7 linked regions of the Daphnia pulex genome follow. Each later gene encodes a partner of the first gene's protein in a complex. Links are inferred from orthologs where the notes say so. Each region holds a gene or a part of one and is shown in the gene's direction. Other genes may lie near its edges. The genes, in order: U6 snRNA-associated Sm-like protein LSm4, U6 snRNA-associated Sm-like protein LSm7, U4/U6 small nuclear ribonucleoprotein Prp4-like, U5 small nuclear ribonucleoprotein 40 kDa protein-like, probable small nuclear ribonucleoprotein G, thioredoxin-like protein 4A and U6 snRNA-associated Sm-like protein LSm8.

What was found.
Region 2: U6 snRNA-associated Sm-like protein LSm4 (region 1) and U6 snRNA-associated Sm-like protein LSm7 share a complex: the UniProt entries of both Homo sapiens proteins name them as parts of the precatalytic spliceosome. The link is inferred for Daphnia pulex from reciprocal best matches to the Homo sapiens genes LSM4 and LSM7.
Region 3: U6 snRNA-associated Sm-like protein LSm4 (region 1) and U4/U6 small nuclear ribonucleoprotein Prp4-like share a complex: the UniProt entries of both Homo sapiens proteins name them as parts of the precatalytic spliceosome. The link is inferred for Daphnia pulex from reciprocal best matches to the Homo sapiens genes LSM4 and PRPF4.
Region 4: U6 snRNA-associated Sm-like protein LSm4 (region 1) and U5 small nuclear ribonucleoprotein 40 kDa protein-like share a complex: the UniProt entries of both Homo sapiens proteins name them as parts of the U4/U6-U5 tri-snRNP complex. The link is inferred for Daphnia pulex from reciprocal best matches to the Homo sapiens genes LSM4 and SNRNP40.
Region 5: U6 snRNA-associated Sm-like protein LSm4 (region 1) and probable small nuclear ribonucleoprotein G share a complex: the UniProt entries of both Homo sapiens proteins name them as parts of the U4/U6-U5 tri-snRNP complex. The link is inferred for Daphnia pulex from reciprocal best matches to the Homo sapiens genes LSM4 and SNRPG.
Region 6: U6 snRNA-associated Sm-like protein LSm4 (region 1) and thioredoxin-like protein 4A share a complex: the UniProt entries of both Homo sapiens proteins name them as parts of the precatalytic spliceosome. The link is inferred for Daphnia pulex from reciprocal best matches to the Homo sapiens genes LSM4 and TXNL4A.
Region 7: U6 snRNA-associated Sm-like protein LSm4 (region 1) and U6 snRNA-associated Sm-like protein LSm8 share a complex: the UniProt entries of both Homo sapiens proteins name them as parts of the precatalytic spliceosome. The link is inferred for Daphnia pulex from reciprocal best matches to the Homo sapiens genes LSM4 and LSM8.

What each region holds. Positions count from the first base shown.
Region 1 is NC_060026.1:5,482,078-5,485,760, reverse strand, and holds U6 snRNA-associated Sm-like protein LSm4, read left to right. Parts: upstream 1-1,354; 5' UTR 1,355-1,499; coding exon 1,500-1,502; intron 1,503-1,568; coding exon 1,569-1,610; intron 1,611-1,669; coding exon 1,670-1,768; intron 1,769-1,883; coding exon 1,884-2,064; intron 2,065-2,912; coding exon 2,913-3,001; 3' UTR 3,002-3,183; downstream 3,184-3,683. UniProt on the Homo sapiens protein: Plays a role in pre-mRNA splicing as component of the U4/U6-U5 tri-snRNP complex that is involved in spliceosome assembly, and as component of the precatalytic spliceosome (spliceosome B complex).
Region 2 is NC_060025.1:134,869-137,638, reverse strand, and holds U6 snRNA-associated Sm-like protein LSm7, read left to right. Parts: upstream 1-1,150; 5' UTR 1,151-1,240; coding exon 1,241-1,249; intron 1,250-1,484; coding exon 1,485-1,689; intron 1,690-1,766; coding exon 1,767-1,903; 3' UTR 1,904-2,270; downstream 2,271-2,770. Other genes in the region: XK-related protein 7-like, read left to right, coding at 1-32, 102-338; myotubularin-related protein 10-B-like, read right to left, coding at 2,335-2,522, 2,591-2,770. UniProt on the Homo sapiens protein: Plays a role in pre-mRNA splicing as component of the U4/U6-U5 tri-snRNP complex that is involved in spliceosome assembly, and as component of the precatalytic spliceosome (spliceosome B complex).
Region 3 is NC_060018.1:6,530,696-6,534,568, forward strand, and holds U4/U6 small nuclear ribonucleoprotein Prp4-like, read left to right. Parts: upstream 1-1,487; 5' UTR 1,488-1,627; coding exon 1,628-1,986; intron 1,987-2,045; coding exon 2,046-2,165; intron 2,166-2,228; coding exon 2,229-2,627; intron 2,628-2,687; coding exon 2,688-2,964; intron 2,965-3,054; coding exon 3,055-3,111; intron 3,112-3,174; coding exon 3,175-3,261; 3' UTR 3,262-3,373; downstream 3,374-3,873. Other genes in the region: splicing factor 3B subunit 4-like, read right to left, coding at 1-14, 75-388, 454-487; tumor protein p63-regulated gene 1-like protein, read right to left, coding at 3,399-3,592, 3,664-3,791. UniProt on the Homo sapiens protein: Plays a role in pre-mRNA splicing as component of the U4/U6-U5 tri-snRNP complex that is involved in spliceosome assembly, and as component of the precatalytic spliceosome (spliceosome B complex).
Region 4 is NC_060027.1:3,204,468-3,208,401, reverse strand, and holds U5 small nuclear ribonucleoprotein 40 kDa protein-like, read left to right. Parts: upstream 1-1,134; 5' UTR 1,135-1,477; coding exon 1,478-1,555; intron 1,556-1,711; coding exon 1,712-1,841; intron 1,842-1,904; coding exon 1,905-2,078; intron 2,079-2,140; coding exon 2,141-2,349; intron 2,350-3,275; coding exon 3,276-3,479; intron 3,480-3,537; coding exon 3,538-3,703; intron 3,704-3,774; coding exon 3,775-3,827; 3' UTR 3,828-3,907; downstream 3,908-3,934. Other genes in the region: syndecan-like, read right to left, coding at 22-114. UniProt on the Homo sapiens protein: Required for pre-mRNA splicing as component of the activated spliceosome. Component of the U5 small nuclear ribonucleoprotein (snRNP) complex and the U4/U6-U5 tri-snRNP complex, building blocks of the spliceosome.
Region 5 is NC_060026.1:11,525,926-11,528,341, reverse strand, and holds probable small nuclear ribonucleoprotein G, read left to right. Parts: upstream 1-1,295; 5' UTR 1,296-1,453; coding exon 1,454-1,485; intron 1,486-1,548; coding exon 1,549-1,571; intron 1,572-1,633; coding exon 1,634-1,758; intron 1,759-1,824; coding exon 1,825-1,878; 3' UTR 1,879-1,916; downstream 1,917-2,416. Other genes in the region: sideroflexin-1-like, read left to right, coding at 46-121, 190-275, 340-467, 530-619, 688-782, 848-907. UniProt on the Homo sapiens protein: Plays a role in pre-mRNA splicing as a core component of the spliceosomal U1, U2, U4 and U5 small nuclear ribonucleoproteins (snRNPs), the building blocks of the spliceosome.
Region 6 is NC_060018.1:1,947,566-1,950,114, forward strand, and holds thioredoxin-like protein 4A, read left to right. Parts: upstream 1-1,302; 5' UTR 1,303-1,434; coding exon 1,435-1,512; intron 1,513-1,569; coding exon 1,570-1,706; intron 1,707-1,770; coding exon 1,771-1,984; 3' UTR 1,985-2,049; downstream 2,050-2,549. Other genes in the region: polyprenol reductase-like, read right to left, coding at 5-127, 200-394, 461-609, 680-867. UniProt on the Homo sapiens protein: Plays a role in pre-mRNA splicing as component of the U5 snRNP and U4/U6-U5 tri-snRNP complexes that are involved in spliceosome assembly, and as component of the precatalytic spliceosome (spliceosome B complex).
Region 7 is NC_060019.1:331,325-333,608, forward strand, and holds U6 snRNA-associated Sm-like protein LSm8, read left to right. Parts: upstream 1-1,153; 5' UTR 1,154-1,232; coding exon 1,233-1,263; intron 1,264-1,325; coding exon 1,326-1,366; intron 1,367-1,447; coding exon 1,448-1,575; exon of another isoform or gene 1,576-1,641; coding exon 1,642-1,732; 3' UTR 1,733-1,784; downstream 1,785-2,284. Other genes in the region: alpha-ketoglutarate-dependent dioxygenase alkB homolog 7, mitochondrial-like, read right to left, coding at 31-198, 275-559; zinc finger protein 277-like, read right to left, coding at 1,796-1,882, 1,950-2,034, 2,097-2,284. UniProt on the Homo sapiens protein: Plays a role in pre-mRNA splicing as component of the U4/U6-U5 tri-snRNP complex that is involved in spliceosome assembly, and as component of the precatalytic spliceosome (spliceosome B complex).

The sequences.
Region 1 (3,683 bases):
CTTCCATTAACTGTTTAGCCTTTTTGGCATCAGCGTCGTTATTAAACTTAAACCGAGCTATATTGTCTCTCTTAGTGAAAGACTGCAGCGTCAGATACTCCGAATTACTTTTAAAGAACTCATCCATAGCATCACCGATAAAATTGCTCGTGTCCACATCCGGATCTAGCTTAGCAATGATGGTGACCGACTTCGAGGCCACTGCCGCATAGGATTTACCTAGCTGCGAGTCCATTCCACTAGGTGGCTCATTCTCCTTAGTCGGCTGCCCATCACCGAATAACCCATTCAAGAACCTATTTGCAATTTTAACCTTGATGCTGGTTAGCTCACTTTCTATCTCTTTAGTATGACTGATAATGCACTCTTTCTCTTGAATGAGCGTCTCTCTTTCCTCTTTTAAATCCTTTATTAGTATATTATCATGTCTTCTCTCGACATGTCGGTCAGAGAATTCTGGCTATTGTTCTGTACACTAAGTGTACGTTTCCGTTTCTCACCATTGGTGCCACCAATACTTGATCTAGGTCTAGAGTACATTATTTTACACACCTCAGAGCAATAAAGATGATTTCCCTGCCATACTCCCTCCTATACGACGGAAATTCCGTCGTATAGGGGGTATATATTACACGAGCGAAGAAAGGCAACTTGCGTCACTTATTGATCAAGAAAAACTGAAGGTATATTTTTTAAAATAATTTAATGTCGTAGTGAATAGTGATCTAGTAACCACTACTTTGCCATTCATTTAGGCTATCAAACGACCAGTTGGAATAGCTTTTATAACCTTCGCCTCAAACATTCAAGCAGCGAGGGTAAGCCAAGATCATAGGCCCAATTGGCGATGTGGATCAATCCCAGAAAGCTCGAGCCTGATTGTTATCTTTAAGCCTCACCGTTGGTCCGTTGATTTTGCTCCACGTCCAGATGAGATCAATTGGTAACTAGATTAAATTAATTAAGGTTAATTCAAGTTCTATAATTATCCTCTGTCGTATAGGAGGGAGTATAGGATTAGTCAAGCATAAAATAATTTCTAGTTCGGCTATACGCCACAGTGGTACGCATTGGCGTAAGCTTCGCACGACTTTTGGCTATGTCGCGTACTTTTGAATTGCAATAAGATCTATTCGGCTGCGTCAATAGTCAATACAATACGTGTTACTGATGTATCGCGAATAACGTTCAGGATCAGCGCAGTGTTAATGGTTTATTTTACGTTACGTTTTTACGGGTTTATACGTTAATGGATTATTGGTCCTGATTGATCTTGTCCATTCGGAACCGTTCCGAACACAGCCGCCTATTTTATAACATTTCCCAACACACCCGCTGTGGCGCGGTGTAAAGGATTGGCCGATCGCACGATAGATGGTGTTTCTGCTTCATAAATCTTTGATCTTTGATTTCCATTTTCCAACCACTTAAAACCTAGGAGAAACCTTTTTCTTAATTATTAATTGGAACATATCGAGAACAATAATATTAAATCAATTATGGTAACTATTGAGTTTTGTGCTTCATACCGAATCATCGAAGATTAATTTAATTATTTATTTATCTAGTTACCTTTGTCGCTACTACGTACAGCCCAGAATCATCCCATGGTAAGCATTTTTTACTTTTGTTATTTACAGCAATAAAACTAGTGTTTCAATATTTACAGTTAGTGGAATTGAAAAATGGGGAGACTTACAATGGCCACTTGGTGAGTTGTGATAACTGGATGAACATCAATCTACGAGAAGTAATTTGCACCTCCAAGGTAAAGTACTTTCATTTAAGATAGTTCCGTCATCTGTATCTGTCAGTGATATTCTTGAATACGATCATAAGGTTTTACATATAATATTTAATGAACAAAAATACAATTTCTTTAGGATGGTGACAGATTTTGGAGAATGCCTGAGTGTTACATTAGAGGCAGTACCATCAAATATCTTCGAATTCCAGATGAAGTCATTGATATGGTTAAGGAAGAAGTAGTTGCAAAAGGTCGTGGTCGCAGTGATGGTAAAGGAAGAGGTGGAGCCCAAAGAGGAGGCAGAGGTGGTAGTAGAGGTATGTTTTAAATGCCAAAATTTTCTCACTCATTATCAATTAAGTTAATGGGGTATACAAAACAATTTTATTCGTAGTCTTAATATTGTTTTAGTCATGAATATTATTGAACAAGTACCAAGTTATAACAGTATTATACAAAATTTTCTGATAATGGTCCAATGGGATAAATATAGTACAATCACTTAATGCTCAAATGATTGTACAATAACTAATGTATGTTTGACTTCTTGTTAATCTCATTATTCTAGAATCATGTTCAGTATATCGTAGCTTTATTTTTAAATTACGTCGTTTCGTGTCATTTGACGAATGAATAGCTAAACATCCTATCTGCACATTCAGGAATGCCTGCTCTTATGGTTTAAAAATGAAATCTATCTACTATGTAGAGGTTTATAATTTGTTTTTTATTGATTATTATTTCAAGAGGTACATGCCGCGTCTCTTACTTGAATACTGATAATAAATTAATTTTAATATTAATTAAAAATAGGAATTTATAAAATTAATTATTTAATCTTTTCACGTTTTTTTATATTTTATTTTAACCTTCCAAAAAAAGTTTACAGTTTAATGAAGTATAGTACTACCTAGGTAATGTTTCTCAGTCGTGTACATTATTATAACTTACATTATTTCCTTTTACTAAGCGTTAGCTTATCGCAGCTACACGAATGTGCGTCAAACTCAAATTAATAGTTAATGATTGATTGAATCGATGGGATTATTTTAATTTTATTATTTAATATTTTTATTTTAAAACATATAGGCTTCGTTGACGTATAATATGGAGCATGCATATTCCTATTGATATGATATAAAATTATTCTTGTGTTGACCATCAGGTTCTTTTGGTGCTTCAAGAGGTCGAGGCGCGCCGTCGGGACGAGGTGGTGGTGGTGGTGGTGGCAATAATAAACCCCGTGGAAAGTAAATAAACTTGTCAGAATGAATGTATGAAAATAAAAATATGGCCAAGTCTTGATTTATTCGAGACGCTTTCTGTTTTGATAAAAAGATGGAAGCACTTATCTCATTCTTTCTCTTCACATTAATTTTACATGCTTAAAATAAGCCCATAAAACCTTTAGGCTGAAATACACCAAGAAACTGAAATATTTAGAAGAGAAGAAGCCCTTGTGGACTTGTAATAACACGCTGCACCTTCAGCTGTTTTGCTGCATATTTCATAAGTCAGTAGGTGCGGCGTAGTAAGAGTGGATGTGTCGGATCGTTCGTTGCCAACTGGCAAAGCGACAGCGAAAATCGTTGTTAGCACAGAAGATTCAGATGCCCATTTTTAATAACGAATGAAAACAAATGTTTTGTTTTTGCAGAAAGTTCGGCGCGCTTAATAAATGTCAAATGTGTATACATATTTTGAAGCATGAAAGTTTTTCGTTTGTTATAGATACTTTCTGCGTTATAGATACTTTGAACTTGAATGCTCACCAAATTCAGTACAAAAGCAAAAGCCATACCACTAATTTTAGAGCGACACCATAATACATCTTCCATTTTCTCGCTCAGTTGCATTCGAACGTAAAATACAATTAGCTCGTAATTACGATTTAGTTCTTAATTATTTGTCAGACGTTTGCAATAGTAAATTCGCC
Region 2 (2,770 bases), on another chromosome or scaffold:
ACCCTCGATTCTCACCTGCCATGTATCAGTCGGTGAGTTAACAATTCTTGATTTAAAAAATTTATGCATTTAACTATATTATCGATTTGATGGGGTCATAGGTCTGCTTGTGCGAGAATGTGATCCTTATGATCCTGTGGATGGAAAGTTTGAGCAAAGGCGATGATTGGGATATAATAAGGCTTTACTGGATCATTCAGTTTGTGACGACTCTTACCAGTTTCGCATTGTTTTGGTGGGTTAAAGAAATCAACAAAATGCTGCGGGAACGCGACACTAGCCCAACTCAAACAGAAAACCAGCCGACATCAGAAACAGCCTTAACCTTATCGCCATAAATTGTTGATTTTCTAACATGGCCATAACCTTATTTGCTCCTGTTTAATTGTCACGTTAAGAGTGATCTTGACTTTAATACAGAATCACACCTCTATCTGCCACCTCTGCTGTAACTTGTAAGCTGACAGTATGAAAGTCTCTATCTAATGACATGTAACATTTTTCTCTTACAGTTTTTAACCTTAAGGAATGGTAGATCATTTGATTGACACTTACCCCAAGACAAAGTGATTGGCTGGACTCAATTGGATTCCATTATTCAAAAGTGGCAGCTGGCAGGATCAGACTCAACGATACAGCAGAGCAGGCTACTATCCAGGATCAGTTCAATTTTAACCTGAAGAAAAAAGATTTCCCATTTAAAAAACTCGTTTACTGTTCGGTGTAGATAGACAGAAAATTTGAAATATCAAAAGAATCGTTCTTTTCAGATTGTCAGGCCGCGACGACTAAGATGAGTGGAGGGAATCGTGATAGGAATCTATCAAATATCGTATTGTTCTTTTTGTTGTTGGCATTCAATAAATTGACCAGCTCCTCATGAACACCAATACAGTGTCGGAATAGTATCAAGTAATCTGATTTCGTCTTATAGAATTCAAATCAAGCAGAGTTACATCGAAACTTGACTCATCATATTGCCTGCAAATGTGGGACCGTTGCCAGTCCATCTCCGGTCCAAACTGATGAGGCTTTCAATAAATCCACAGTAAAAAAAAACGCCATCTAAAATATTCAATGAATGGAAAAATAATTATAAAGAAAAGATTTGAAAAAAAGAGTGGTTAAAATATTCATTGAAATCAATATTTGGCACCGGTGCTGCGCTATTCCGATTTTGATTTTTACAACATTGCAGACGACTCTATTGTTTTCTGTACACCAAACCCAAACGGCAAAAATGGCAGCCGTAAGTATTTAATTTACTAAATGAATTAGTGGTCTATAATCCCAAGACATGAAATGACAAGCACTGAATATATTTAAGCTATGAATAATGTCTGAAAAACATTGATCTGCCTGTCGTAAATTGGGTACAATTAATAGCAATGCGTCACGTCACTCATGGCTTTTATTGGCTACTGCTTTAGAATTACATCATTCTGGGTTTTGCTAATAACGTTATTCATTTCCTTTCTTTTTAGCAAAAGGTCGATAAATCCACACCGGCAACAGGTAGCCCAGCAGATTTAAAGGAGAAGAAGAAGGAAAGAATCTTGGACTTGTCCCGTTACATGGACAAGTTGATCAGAGTCAAGTTTACCGGAGGCAGAGAGGCAGCTGGTATACTTAAAGGTTACGATCCTCTACTCAACATTGTCCTGGACAACACGGTAGAATATCTAAGAGGTAAGACTTGAGAACTACCACAAATTGTATGTGAAACAAGATTGACTTAAAATTCCTGTTATGTCTTGTATTTCTAGATTCGGAAGATTCATTCAAGTTGTCAGAAGACACCAGACAGTTGGGCTTGGTGGTTTGTCGTGGAACAGCTGTTGTTCTCATCTGCCCTGCTGACGGTATGGAAGCCATTGCCAACCCTTTCATTCAACCAGAATAATTGATTTTTTTTTTCTAAATTGAACCAATGATCATTTGTCTGTGTGTTGTTTCCCAATTTTCCAATAATAAAAGAACGAGAAAAAGGTGAAATAGTATAATAATATTATTAAAATCCTTCAAAAAAACGGATAGGTAAAAGAACACGGATCGACAATGATAATAATACGATGATTTGAATAAATGATTCAATTTTTATGCAATTATATAGCAGTAATGCAAAACAGAATTATATTTTTAGAAGGCGATTAGAAAAGAGCCTACGAAGGTCGAATTCATATTTATGTACTTTTAAGTGTAGGAAAATTGGAGAGGCACCGTCTCATCTTTCTGTGTGAATGTCACAACATTCGGCCGTCAAACGAACTGGACAACGTGAAATGAATCGAGAGGAAAATTCTAAAGGCAATGATAATAACTGATGTTCAAATCTCAATCGGTGACAAAAGAGTCGGAATCGAATTCAGCTTCGACGGCCCGACTTCCAGTCGAACGGAGTGTGGAGCCGGAAATGACGGGCGAAGGAACAATTTCCCACTCGCCGAATGACAAGGCAGAATCGTTTTGTTGCTGGACGAACGGGTGGAAGCTGCTCAGCGTCACCTGACTTCCAGGTTGGCCTGAATAAGAAATCAAAATTAAGAAAAAACAAACAAACAATTGAAAGTGAGTCGACAGCGGTTGATACCCGGTGAATGGTCGCTCATGGTGACGAAACGTTGACTTGGCGACGAAGAAATGTCCGCCTCGCCATTGTTACTCAAGTCGTGCTGCAACTGGCACTGGTGCAATTTGTCCAGCTGCGATTCTAGACTGAGAATGTCGTTGACCAAGGCGCAGTGATGGAAATAGACGGGCGGATGTCCAC
Region 3 (3,873 bases), on another chromosome or scaffold:
GAAAATGTGTCATACTAAAAAAGCAATAATAGATTAAATTGTGTTTTGAACCTAAAGGAATGCTGATTGGTTACCAAAAGTTTTTCATCAACTTCAGGATCTAAGTTTCCAATGAAAATATTTGCTCCAACATCTAAGTTTTTCTGGTGTGCTGATGCTTTGTTTACCCGAATGGGTTTACCATACAGCTTTATCATGTTCATAATTTTACATGCGTAGTCAGCATCATCTTCACTGAGGAATTCTATGAATCCGTATCCTTGATGCAGTAAAGTAATCCGATCTTTAGGCATATGCACATTTACTACAGGACCACCTTGAACGAACAACTCCCACAGCAAGGGCTCCGTAACTTTTTCGTCTAACCCACCAACATAAATGGTAGCATCTGAAAATGATAAAAATTTCACATAGTCATTTCATTTTAGTGCATAATAAACTTAAATTTCTTACCTTGATTTCTTTCTGAAACAGGTCCAGCAGCCATGCTGAAAGTAACCAAATAGTTTCCACCTGAAATTTGCAAACTTCCAAAATATAAAATGCTTGTTTGAGTGTGTCTGCCTTGTATTATTGAAGGCCGGTCAAGCGATCAGTTTTCCTATGCCAGTGCTTTTGACTAACCAAGCTCCAACTAGATGACGCCCGGAGCTAAAGACCGGCCCACACACTCAATAGCGGCAAGGGCGGAAGGATCCGACAGGTTTTCAAATCTTAGTCTGTGTGGTGTCTTGTGTCTCTTTGCAAATTGCCAAATTCCAATAAATAATGCCGTGTTTAAGCATGTATAATTATATCCGGAAATCCTACGAAATACTAAGAATATAAAATTTCTGTATCTAAAGCGTTAATAGAATACATCCTTTATTCCTTTCCCTCTCATACAGATCTTTATTAAGAACAATTCTTTGTAGTTATTATACAGTTTTCTAAAATTAGATGCATAAAATGGATAACCAAATTTTGAACTGACAATCTGATATTTCAAACATCATTTTTGGTTATGTCCCTATACTAGGCCTAGTATACTCCCTAATGTTTCCGTACACCAAATTGGCCTGTTACACAGTCTGTTACACAGTCTGCTGCATGTGTAATCGATCGCATATCAGGCATTTTATGCTATTAACAACTGTATGCTGAGCTGAACCTCAATTTTATAGGTTGCAACAAAATCATTTTTGGAAAAAAATCCCAGATGGGCATGTGCTGCACTATGAGTGCGAATAATTTTTTTCTAATCGAAATCACAAATTGGTAATATAAACCGAAGATTCAGTATTCAGGTATTATTCAGACTGGCTGTTTTGTATATTAGGTAGTGTAATAAATCACACATCATAATTTAAAATTTCTTTTGCGAGCGGCAGTTTATTATCCGAAGAATGAGTACATGGAACATAGTTTTCCAGTTTTCCACCAGTGGCTCTGTATGCTGCACATGATTTTTTCATACCGTAAGTCGCTTTTCGTTTGGGAGTCGTCTGGCTTGTAAAAGTCTATTTAAGATTTAAGAACGATCGTATTGACAACAAAAACGTGACAAAACGAGGTGTCGGTGTCTATAATATTTAAACATTGAGATCAAAACAGGAAAAGTTCAATTAGAAAACACATTTCTTTAAACATGTCGTCCACAACCGGTTTCGCTATCACAATTGACGATGGGGAAATTCGGAAACATCTTAGGCAATTAGGTGAACCAATAACCCTTTTTGGTGAAGGACCTGCTGATCGCCGAAATAGATTAAAAGAGTTACTCTCGGTTCATGGACATGATTTGATCGATAGAAAAAAAGAAGATGAAAAAGAAATTGTGAAGGTTGAGAAAGATCAAACTGAAACCACTTGGTATCATGAAGGTCCTGAATCACTCAAAATTGCTCGTTTGTGGTTAGCATATTATTCCCTCCCCAGAGCAAAACAAAGGTTATCTAATGTGAAACTTGAATCTGAAATACCAGAATCAACAAGAACAGCCAAAAGGTCTGAAATATGCTCTGTTATGAAAGCACATCCCAATTAATATATTTTTTCTTTTCCAGGCAGGAAATGGTGAAACGGATGAGAGGTATGAACATCATGTGCAGCCAAGTTGGTGATGGAAGACCAATATCATATTGCCAATTCAGCCCAAGTGGAAATTTGTTGGCCACTGCCTCCTGGTATTAAATATTCTGAGATTGTAAGAGAGTTAATCAGATAATAAAAAACAATTCATGTTTTAGGAGTGGCCTGTGTAAATTGTGGAATGTACCTGACTGCACTTTGTCTCATTCATTGAGAGGCCACAAGTGTAGTGTTGGAGCAATAGTCTTCCATCCACAAGCCACCTTGAGCTTAGAACCTTCAGAATTAAATATGGCTTCATGTTCCATGGACGGCGCAGTCAAATTGTGGAATTTAGAAAGTGAAGAGCCGATTGCTGATATGGAAGGACATGCTCCGCATCGAGTGTCAAAAGTTGAATTTCATCCTTCTGGAAGATTTTTAGCTACATGTGTTTTTGATAATTCCTGGAGGCTATGGGATCTAGAACAGGGTGTAGAAGTTCTTCATCAAGAAGGGCATTCCAAACCTGTATACAACATAGCATTCAATGTTGATGGTTCAGTGGCTATCACAGGGTACCAACACCTAAAAATATGTTAACATAATATTTTAATTACATGTGGAATTTTTTCTAGTGGCATGGACTCTTTTGGTCGAGTATGGGACCTCAGAACTGGGCGCTGCATCATGTTTATGGAAGGTCATTTAAAAGGTGTCTTGGGCATCGATATATCACCTAATGGCTACCACATAGTAACTGGAAGTGAAGACAATACCTGTAAAATATGGGATTTACGTAAGAGATCCTGTATCTATACTATTCCTGCACACACAAATTTAGTGTCGAGCGTGAAATTCGAAAGAAGTTCCGGACAGTATATTGTCTCATCTTCATATGACTGTACCGCAAAGGTATGAATAATCATTAATAGATTTTCTTTCTGCATTCTTTAAATGTTACATTTGTCATCTATATATATTTGAAATAATTTTCTGCCCTAGATATGGGCGAGTAACACTTGGCAACCATTGAAAACCCTTTCGGGACATGACGGAAAAGTAAATTTTTTAATCAGATACGTTTGTGATGTGTTTCTCAATTTTTTTATTTTATTGTTACAGGTTATGGCAGTTGATGTATCGCCTGACGGGTCGTTCATCGCCACAGCCTCGTACGATCGCACTTACAAGCTTTGGTCCCCTGAATAAATGTAGAAGTATAGAGTGCAGCTTCGAAGACGACCATGCTTGTTTGATTTCTTTATTTGTGTATTGGACTTCGAAAACATTAATAAATTAAATACAAAAAAGTTGAAGCCTATTGGTTGGGAAGATTGGGTGGAGTATTAAAAACTTACTTTCCCTCGTACTTTGTAAAATCCGAATTGACTGTAGTTGTGTACTAATGCTGGAAGCCCTAAATACGAATTCATTATAATTGGCTTGTATTCAACTAAACCCTGGTACTCGTTTTGCAAAGTTCGCTGTAGGTTGACTGTAAAATCTTTAACGTCGAATATAGCAGGAGTCGTGTGTTCAGCTAAAATTCATAGGTAAAAATAAGAGTTAACATCCATCGAATAATGATTAACAGAATTGCAATCTTTTTACTTGAAAGTAGTGGATGCGATAAAAACGTTAACCAGGGAATTGCCTTGCTCCATGGATTCCATAACTGGGTAAAATTGGGTTCTGCCGGCACGGACCCAAACAAAATTCGGACGCCGTTTCTTTTCAATCTAATTCCAAAGCAAGAACTTTCTTGAAAACTTTTGTTCGACATTTCTACATTATAACGTATCAATGTGTCATGTCTGATTT
Region 4 (3,934 bases), on another chromosome or scaffold:
AAAAAGTGGTGGCATTCTTACCTTGGCAACCGATGATGCACTGTTGATGTTACTGCTAACCGAATGTGCAGCCAAAAAGGCGATGAAAATCGCCATATGTATTCTGGGATTCATTTTTGAGAGAATTTCCTGAGCGTTTGAGAGTCTGCCTTACGTGTGTGTGAGAGGGTGGAGAGAGAGATTTTTTCAGTATTATTTATTTTAAGAGCCGGATATCCGTTTCTAAAGTTTTCTTCCAAGATTTTTGTGTTATTTCAATACAAAAGTGGAGAACGTGGTCGAATAAATTAGGATAGTTGCAGCCTTTTGTCCGTTTTTCTAATTTTCTAAACACAGACGGTGATGCTCTCAGGTCAGGCTGGGCATTTTCTTTCTTTCTTTCACACTTCTTCTCTCTCACAGGCGCGCACTCAACCACACAGTTCACTGGTGAAGCCAAAACGATGGCCGAGTTTTACTCGTCGATTCGGGGACGGAATGTTAAATATCAACAGAACAAAAAGAGTTGCCGGGAATTGGCGTGATTTCGAGACACTTCTCGATGTAACCAAAGGCCGAAATGGATTAAAAGATCCCAACTCACGCCCAGATCATCAAACACACCAGCCGAGAGCCGCCATTAAACTGAAGGGACTGGATTTTTCTTTGTGTCCCTCCGCCGCCATTGGGTACCAAAAACTCTGCCATCTGGCGGCAGTTTTCAGCTCCTCCCCACTTTCTCCTCCAACAACATAGACGTGGAAATTATACGGACGAATGTAAACCACACACACGGGAAAGAAAAGGAAAAACAAAAATCAATCTCATCATTTCCTCATCATGTTGGGAAAAAATGAATGACTCAATTTAGGTCATGGATTCAGCGCTCAAAATATCTTCATCTCGAGAGACTAGTTTTGTTCTTTCCGACGCACCAAATTTCGTTGGAATGGAAAAGAAATCCCAGACATAGCGACTATCACATATACTGGTGAAGTCGTTTTCTTGCGAGTGTTAAAAAACTAGAAGGTCCTCTGTTCTATAGTCACACGGACACACAAAACTTAAGAAAATATCGAGGGGAGAGATTTAATGTTTGTTGTTTCTCCCTCCTTCTTCTAACACTCCTTTTCTTTTTTTACGATCGTGGGTTCGCCTGTTTTCCGGCCCCAATAATACCCATTGTTTTCCAAGACTGCGCGGGTGTTCATGAAATTCCTCGAGTTACAACTTCTTTTTCCCAAAAAAAGAAAGAGAAAAAGGGTTCGGAAATTCTTGAGCGATATACCACTGTGACAGCTTTTCCCCATCTCAATTTTTATTCTTTTATTATACCAAAGTCTTTCCAAGTTTCCAACAAGATTTGGAAAAGGCGACCACTATAAAATATAGATCTAGCAAGAAAAGGCTTCTGCTCCGTCAGTAGTAGTTGTCAAAACTTTTTCACTTTTTTTTTCTACAACTTGAAAATTTTCTTAAAAGTCTAGAAGCCGGAGCAATGGCGCTTGTGTCAGTAAACAATCCCAGCAATAATGAATTGGTGTCGGCCACCTCGGGTCAAGTGGCCCTGCAACAGGTTTGATTTATTTGTGTTTTATTTATAAACTTTTAAATGAGCCGAATGCATCACAAAAGAGAATTGCATCCAACCACATGCTGACCAGCTTGTGTGTTTTGTTGTTGTAGATGCTATGATGAATTCAAATGTGATATTGACTTTTTCAATAAACAGGGACCAGCAAGAACGTCTAGCCTCATGGCTCCTATAATGCTCCTGGCAGGACATCCTGGAGATATCTTTAGCCTGAAGTTCCATCCTGACGGCCAGTTTTTGGTTTCCACCGGGTTCGACAGACAAATATGTAAGCATCATATATACATTTGAGCATCTCTACTGTTTGGATAATCAACCTCTTGTTCAACAGTTTTGTGGAATGTTTATGGAGAGTGTGAAAACTTTGCTGTGTTGTCTGGTCACACCGGAGCAGTAATGGATCTTCAGCTGTCTACCGATGGTGATACCATTTACACTGCTAGTACAGACAAAACCATTTGTTTGTGGGACACCAGAACAGGAGCTAAAATCAAGAAACTGAAAGGTATACCATTGTCACTGTCCCATTATTTAGCAATTGAACCCAACAACAATTTGTTTCAACAGGCCACTCCTCCTTTGTCAATGCTATTCATCCTGCACGAAGAGGACCTCCTCTTCTCTGCAGCGCCTCAGATGACTGCAACATCAAAGTCTGGGATCCAAGAAAAAGAACCGAGACAGTATCATTAGATAATTCTTACCAAGCGACTTCCGTCACCTTCAACGATACCGCCGAACAAGTCATTTCCGCAGGCATCGACAACGATGTTAAGGTGAGTTCGCAAAATTCAATTGTTGTAATAGAGAGAGAGAGAGAGAGAAGAAAAACTATGGGACCAATTTCCAAGAATTTGAATTAAGCCACCGATTCGGCGAACTTCATATTCCGTGTGAGTGGGAGAAAGTCACAAACTTGAGTATTTTTCTTACAGAATTGATTAAAGTTCTCAGTATTTTTACTTGATGGCTTCAAGAGAATAGTTTGGCAAAAAAGGAAGGACCTGCAGTCATATTCTGTCTTTGTTGTAAAAACTAAAGTTTCGACATTGTTGATTGTTTTCTACTTAATATTGAACCATATTCGTGCAAGTTCTGTCTTACCCTATCATCGAGTTCATTTTCCTTGAAGAGTGCAAGGGATTTCAACTTTGGTATTCTGATTATCGCGTGTCTCACCTTGATAAGGTCACCAAGTCCTTCCTTACTTCCAGGGCCCCTTCTCTTTGATATATGAATGGGTTCACTAATGTAAGCTCGTAGGCGAAGTTTTTAAAATTAATTCAAGTAATTTCAGCAGTAGGGTCTCGTCAAATGTCCTAATTCCATCCTAATTACTGAAGATGCGCATTTTTGTGTTTTGTCAGTTTGAGGCAAATGTGAAACGCTGGAAGCGGATTCTGATACTTCTTTGCTTGTCAGATGGTTGCACATTATCGATCAAAACTTTTCCCCGTAATACTTATGACAATTTTGCGACATCTTTAGGAAGAATTTACTCTGAAAAATAGATAATTTTCACTTTTTATCGATTATCTTTTCGTTCGAACTAAACCCATGTTAAGTTTTCTCCTTTTTTTGGAAGATATTCATTTTAAAACCTGAAAAGTAGTTTTGCATTTGCGATATTTCAACTGGTCCTGGCCTTGAGCTATTCACGTGAATATGGAGAGATAGGTAAATCATACACTTTCCTTTTTAGGTCTGGGACTTGAGAAAAAATGCTCTCCTCTACTCCTTGAAGGGCCATTCCGACACTGTGACCGGCTTGACTCTCAGTCCTGATGGATCTTACGTGTTGTCAAACTCGATGGACAACTCTTTACGTGTCTGGGATGTACGACCTTTCGCTCCTCAAGAACGTTGTATCAAAATGATGGTTGGCCATGCTCACAACTTTGAAAAGGTATATACAATGCCGGCGAATTTCTCAATCCATTCTAATACCTTGTGTAATGTTATAGAATTTACTTCGCTGCTCATGGTCACCTGACGGAACCAAAGTTTCAGCGGGATCTGCCGACCGATTCGTTTACATTTGGGACACTACATCTCGCCGCATCATTTACAAATTACCTGGTCACAACGGAAGTGTCAATGACGTTGTATTTCATCCTAAGGAACCTATTGGTAATTTACGCAGCAAATCAACATCAAGGACATCAATTAATTTCAGATTTTTTATTTTGAATGAAACATAGTTGCATCCGGTGCCAGTGACAAGCTGATTTACCTAGGCGAAATTGACGCTTAATTAGGAAAGGTTATAATTTTTTTCAGTTGAAACGATGGCAAGGATCGAGGACGAATAAACAAATAATTCTTTTACGCATATTTACAAAATTGCATTTAAATTAATCG
Region 5 (2,416 bases), about 6.0 Mb from region 1:
TTTAAATAAATCACTGAAAGTTATAATAATCTATTGATTTTTTAGACAATTGGGTACATCTTATGCACTGGCAACAAGTGGGGCTTTAGTCACTGCTCTTGGTTTGAATAGCTTGACCAAGGTATCAAAAATATTAACTTGATATAATGGACCATAATGTAAATAACTTTATGAGAAATTAATTTTTAGTCAATGTCTCCTATTATTGGGCGTTTGGTACCCTTTGCAGCTGTTGCTGCCGCTAACTGTGTAAATATTCCTCTGATGCGAATGCAGTAAGATAAACATTTTCTCGTCGCATAAGATAACTAATGCTTTAAAATACGACTGATTTTTTAGTGAAATTCAAAAGGGAATCTCAGTTTCTGATGAGAACGGAAATGTACTCGGTGAATCTTCGATTGCTGCCAAATGGGGTATCACTCAAGTTGTCCTTAGTCGTATCGGAATGGCTTCTCCTGGAATGGGTAATTCATGTAATACGATAGTAATCTGATAAAAATAAAACATCCAGCACAATAATATGCAGTCCTACCACCTCTGCTGATGAATTATTTGGATCGAAAGGGCTTCTTGAAGCGATTCCCTTGGTCTGCGGCACCTATTCAAGTTACTTTATGTATGAAACATTAACTATTTATCATGTAGTTGTAAACGGCCAATTATGTATTATTATTTGGCTTACAGGTGGCGTATTACTTACTTTCGCTACTCCAATGTGTTGTGCCCTGTTTCCTCAAAAAGCATCGATTTCGGTTGACAGTCTGGAACCAGAGCTACAGGTAATTTTTTATAGCGTTTTAATGTGGTTCTTGTTTTAACATACATCTTTTCTTTTTTAATTCAGGCAAAGATTCGAAAATCCCCGAATCCCCCAACTGTTGTTTATTACAACAAGGGCCTGTAAATTTGAGTCAATCACTGAATTACTGTGGACGAGTGCAAATATCTCAGTACAAGTTTCTTAGATCAACTAGAAAATGAAAAAAACAACAGAAAAACACATTTAATTAAAGTAACTTCCACAGTTTATTTTTTTTTGCTCAAAGTATATTGGTGTAGTTTCCATTCCAGTTGAGGTAATTGGTAGTCATTTTGCTATAGAAATAAACTGCTAAAAAATATTTTCTTACAGAATTGTAGCTGCTAATTTATACAATTAATTGAAGATCGTAATTTTTTTCCTGTTTTAATAAGGCAAAAAAGCCACAAGCTGTATAAAAAATTCCTTAGCGCGCCAGCGCCCAGCCGCCAGGTCTCGTCGCCGGTCTCGCAAAGCCGCCAGTTTCTAAATTCAATATCTGGCAAACACGCGTTCCTAACGTTTGGCATCGCGCATCGGACATTAAAAACGATCCAAACTTTCTTGGTGTATCACGTTTTTTCCTAGTTGCTTGAAGTTAGTGATATATTCATCAACGTAGATATTAGATATTAGTTATTTCAAACCAAAATGAGCAAGGCCCATCCACCAGAGTTGAAGAAGTATGTATTGTTGCTTAAGTTATATTTACATTTTTAATAATGATCTCTACTTCTTTTGTACAGGTACATGGATAAAAGAATGTCTTGTAAGTATTATTTTTTTGTTAAATTATTATTGAAAACTGTTTTGAAGAATTGTTTTTCACAGTGAAACTGAATGGTGGTAGGAACATTGTTGGGATCTTGAGAGGTTTTGATCCATTCATGAACTTGGTCATTGATGAAACCGTTGAAGAAGTTAAAGATGGTTCGAAAAATAACATAGGGATGGTGGTATGTTTAAAATTAACATGGCATACATAAATTCAAATACCATTAACTATTTATATGTAAATTTAGGTTGTTCGTGGAAACTCAATTATAATGTTGGAAGCACTGGAAAGAATCATGTAGCCTAACTGCTGAAAAATAAATGTCATCCAAATTGTAAATTATTTAAAACATTCCACTTTATTACTCTTTTCTTAGCCATCTTAGCATTGGGTTGAGAGGAATTAAGAATGAAAAGGTTACAAATAAACTGAAAATTAAGGAGTGTTGCAAATAAAACACCATTAGAAGAAATATAATGGCTGGAAATTAATGTTAAATTAAAATTAATAGTAAAAAAATAATGAGAATTCTAAAACAATTTTTCGGTAATGAAAGATTTCATTTATTGACGCTAATTAAACAAATTAAGCTTGATCACGTCAATCACGATGAGAGATTGTGCATGTAATATTATTACCTTATTTATATTATGTGGTATATATAAATAACATAATTCAGCGCCACTGCCAGAAGGTTAGATAGTTGTTGAGCTCGGAATTGTTGAACGCCATCTATGCTCTCCAGACGATACACAAGGGTGGGGCCTATATTCTGATAGACGAAAAATTAACATGAGAGTGACTAGGTCTGGGCAGAGCAATAGATGCCTGGTCGGTTC
Region 6 (2,549 bases), on another chromosome or scaffold:
TTACCTTTCCTTAAATTTGCTAAGGATACATGTGCAATATATTGATGATAGTAGGCAAGAGTAAACAAAATTATGCCAAAAATGGGTTGTAAAGGGATATCATTGCTATTTGGTATCCATACAAAATCTAGATTGTTCAACAATAAATTAAAGAAAAGATTATCATGTAATGGGAAAATATTGTGTTGGTAACACCTACCATTTGTACTGGAATAGTCAGCTGAGTATGAAAGTATGACAGTGGCACACCCCCAATAATGTAGATAGCCAACTAAATAATGGCCAAGGTTCATTTTTGAATCAGCAAAAACAGTGACACACAAACATTCATACAACCTCCTGGATGTTTGCAGGAAAAAAAGTACAGCAGCTAATAGTGATAACTCAGGGCTAGCTTTATAAATAGACAATATTTTAACAATACAGAATGAATAAAATTTTGTTAAAATTGTTCAGTTACCTAAAGGATTGTGAGTGTATGGTGATACAAAACTAATGTATGAGGTTACAAGCGTAGATAATTGATTCTTCAACACAATCTTCCACATCATTGTTATGAGAACCAGGAATGTATAGAATACTCCAAACACATAAAAGTGTGTAAACCAACTTAATTTAGCAGATTAAAATAAATTTTTAATTTTAATTGTAAAGGAATCAGCAGTAGTAACTTTAATACCTCTTCGGAATAAGGATAGTTCTGATTGAACTGCCAAATACCTTACCTTCACAACTTTTCCCATAAGAGTAGAGATCAATTATAATCTTTGGTATCCACTTAGTATCAACAACAAACACAAGAATACCAAGAATGGAACTCATGCTCAACAAAATAAAGATGGTAATAACAATGCTTATTGTGATCATGGCCGGTGTTGAGACTATTGGCTATCTTGAAGGAATGGCTGAGTTATTAATTCGTTTAGATTGAAAGCATAGTCGGTTTTCAACAGGTTATGTAAAAAGAGATTTGATTTTACGTAAAAGCACAACTGGTTTTTCGGGTTTCTGAAGGCGACCCCGTGCCATGAAGTCTGAACGAAAAATTGAAAACAAATGATAAGAGGAAGGGGGCCAGGGGGGGAATTCGAAAGTATTGCCACTTGCCAGATCTTAAGAATAATCCCTTATTAGAAATAAATTTTATTTTACTTTTAAAATGTTTTATTAGTAAAACTTTAAATATTTTATAGTTAACTATACACATTTTTATACTGTTAAATATGTTTATATTCCTTGGGAGTTGGGAATGAATTTGTAAAGAAAGTGGATGAAAATTTCACACACAGATGTCGTGTTACTCGTGAAGTTGACAGACGCATTATTTACCTTTTTCGGGTTTCTGAAAGGAAAGGTTTGAAAACGTGAAGCGAGATCTATTTCTAAGCACTGTTCAGCTTTTTCTTTTTTCACGACCTTTATCAATCAAACAATATGTCTTACATGTTACAGCATCTTGTTAATGGTTGGCAAGTAGATCAAGCAATTCTTTCAGAAGAGGACCGTTTAGTGGTAAATCAAACTTTCTCTAGTTAATATTACTATCAATTTAAACATGCTTTACTACAGGTTATTCGTTTTGGTCATGATTGGGACCCAACTTGCATGAAAATGGATGAAGTGCTTTATCAAATTGCAGAGAAAGTCAAGAACTTTGCTGTCATCTATTTAGTGGATATCACCCAAGTTCCTGACTTCAATAAGATGTAATTTCATATTTACATTGTATGAATGAATCCCAATAATGATTTTCACTGTTTTTCTATATAGGTACGAGTTGTATGATCCTTGCACAAACATGTTTTTCTTCCGTAACAAACACATTATGATAGATTTAGGCACTGGTAACAACAATAAAATCAACTGGGCAATAGAAGATAAACAAGAAATGATTGACATTGTGGAAACAGTCTATCGTGGAGCCAGAAAAGGTCGAGGTTTGGTTGTTTCACCGAAAGATTATTCTACCAAATATCGCTATTAACTGTGTTGTTCAATTAAATGACACTGGATTAAAAACTAATAAATGATGACACTTTTGAATCCCCATTTTCATAAATTGTTTGTCTCATAAATTGACCATCAAGTAAACACATCGTACAACAATCGTTACAACAATTACATTATATTACTTACGGTTAGGTTTCCGAACAGTGATTTAACTTACCATGAAAATTTATTTCAATTATTTTATATTTTACGTATACCGTACGTAGTTATTAGCAGGTAACGAATACTTCCCAAAAAGAACTCGAGATAGAGTGACATGTCCATTTAGTTTAAACTTAAGCCACTAGGTGCTCGACACTATGGCGGCAGTCTGTTTCCTGCCTGTTTCTTGTTTCGCCCCGTCAGATTAAATGAATGTAACCGTTTCAATAGCTCGGTTAGAACAATGTGTCATATACCCCTAAGTGAAGACATCAAAACTTTTTACTTATGAATGTGCTGATCCCCATGAAAGTACCATAAAGTGAAGAGGATAACAGGTGTTTACAGCCGGTGGCCGTCCAACAACGAACTTGTACTTATTGAACTCCGTGTGCACC
Region 7 (2,284 bases), on another chromosome or scaffold:
ATAATTTCCAAACGCTGTCATCTATCATACCTTTATGCTGTCCAGATGTGGTTTGATGTGACCATTCTCAGCTAAATCAAGCACATGGACATGCTGCATCGTGGTAGTTGAAAAGGCAAAAGCTCTCAACCGATTTATAACACAGTCATTGACTTGATTCCAAGTAGGTTTCTCTGTTTCCCTGTATCCGTGGATAGCCTTTTGGGTTTCGAATAACAAATGGTGGTCATTCAACAGTCAGACAACCTACGTGAACACGAAATTTCAGACTTACATCATCCCAATGGTCATACTGATACCGGGACCTTTTGAACTTCACCTCCAACTCTTCCAATAGGTTATTCTCTTCTTCAGCACTGATGAAATCTTTGTAGACTTGAAAGTCTTTCTCAAGCATTTGCCTCGTCGCTTCATCGCAGTCGGGAGAGAATTCTAAATTTGGAGAGATCCCGCGGGTCTCTGCGGGAGTTGAGCATGTGCTTCTTGAATGGGAACAAGTAGCACTTAAAGGAATTGCGCGCTTCAAAACTGCACGAATATTGACCAGATAAAGCACCATATCTCGATGCTAAAATATTCAACCATTAAAAGTCGGACATCAAAATATTTCAAATCGGCAATTTTCTGCAAAGAGCAGACGACGTTTGCGTGTGTGTACGTGACATGCCATATTTCGTTTTGATTGCAATCAAATGTAAAAAATGATGTCATTAAAAATGACAGACGGTACTTTATTTAATGGACATGTATATTTAAAATAAATAGATTTAACAAAATTGGGCTGGGGTTAGTCACGCTAATATATTATTTCGTTTAATGTTAATACCTCAAAACCGACCAAATAAAGAATTATACCGCATAATGGAAATGTAGGGCCTATCTGATTTTCAAATTTATTTGATGGCCAAAGAAAACGATTCATCAAAACTCTAGCCTGCTGAGTTCTTCTCCTCACCAACCATTTGATTAACGTCTCGGGAAAATAGCCTCAGGCACCCCTTCTCGATTTCTTTAGTCTTTTTCAAATAACCAATTTCCATACATAAACAAAAATTATATTACTCTATCGAAATCATTAATCACTGAAACATAAGTTTACTACAGTTTGTATGAATTAAATCTGAATAGAATGAATGAAAATACTTTGTTGATATTAAAGTAAAATAAACGGCAACGCTGTATTGCAGACGATTTTTACAAGCCAAATACAAAGTGAAGCGAGTGAAGAAATCATGGCATCAACGTTAGATTCTTACGTTAATCGTGAGTTTTAATTATTATATTGTTTATTATTCACTGAAAAATTGTATCTTTCTTGTTCGCAGGTTCCGTATGTGTTATCACGAGTGATGGGAGGAATTTTATTGTAAGTTGTAACGCCCGATCACAAGGCATCATCCTCACTCAATAAACCGTTTGAAATAATTTCAATGTATTCTTTTTACAGGGTATTCTTAAAGGATTCGATCAGACTATCAACCTTATCATTGACGACAGTCATGAGAGAGTGTTTAGTTCTACCCAGGGAGTTGAACAAGTCCAACTGGGACTGCACATCATCAGAGGAGACAATGTGTATGTTTCATCCACTTATTAGCTGTAAAATAACTCAATCATAACTATTTCTTGTTGTAATTTCAGAGTTTTAATTGGGGAAATTGATAATGAACTTGATTCCAGACTCAATTTATCAGAAATAAGAGCAGAACCACTAGCTCAAATCCACCATTAAAGTTTGCATTATTCCATCATGATCACTTGAAATACAATCTTTTTTACAGCTTTGTAGAATCATTCATTTTTTTACAATTAGCTCTAGTTTAAGCAGTTCTTCTTCAACTACTTTAAGGTTTATGATGGTGTCTTCAGGGATCACTGTTACCTAATTAAATGAAAAATCATGAAAACAAGTTTTTACATTAATAAAAATCAGACTTAATATAATTTACTTGGTCGGTTTCAGTAGAATCATCTGGAATGGTATCTTCTAGCAAACAAAGAAGAGCATCATTTTCATAGGTTGGAAAGTAGTACCTAAAAGTTTATCCAATAAAATAGGATCCACAAATAGAAAATTTTGAATGTATCCGGCTTACTGTGACTGATCCCAAACTGCCCGATCGGGAAGTTTAAAGTGACTGAAGTTTTGCATGTGCTCTCTCAGTTTATCCCGGGATTCAAACTGCTCATCGCAAAGTATGCATTTCTTTTCATGCACTTGTCTCCTGACGTAGTTGACAATCTTAATTTGCTGATAGATACTAAAGCTCTTTTTCAGGCCCAG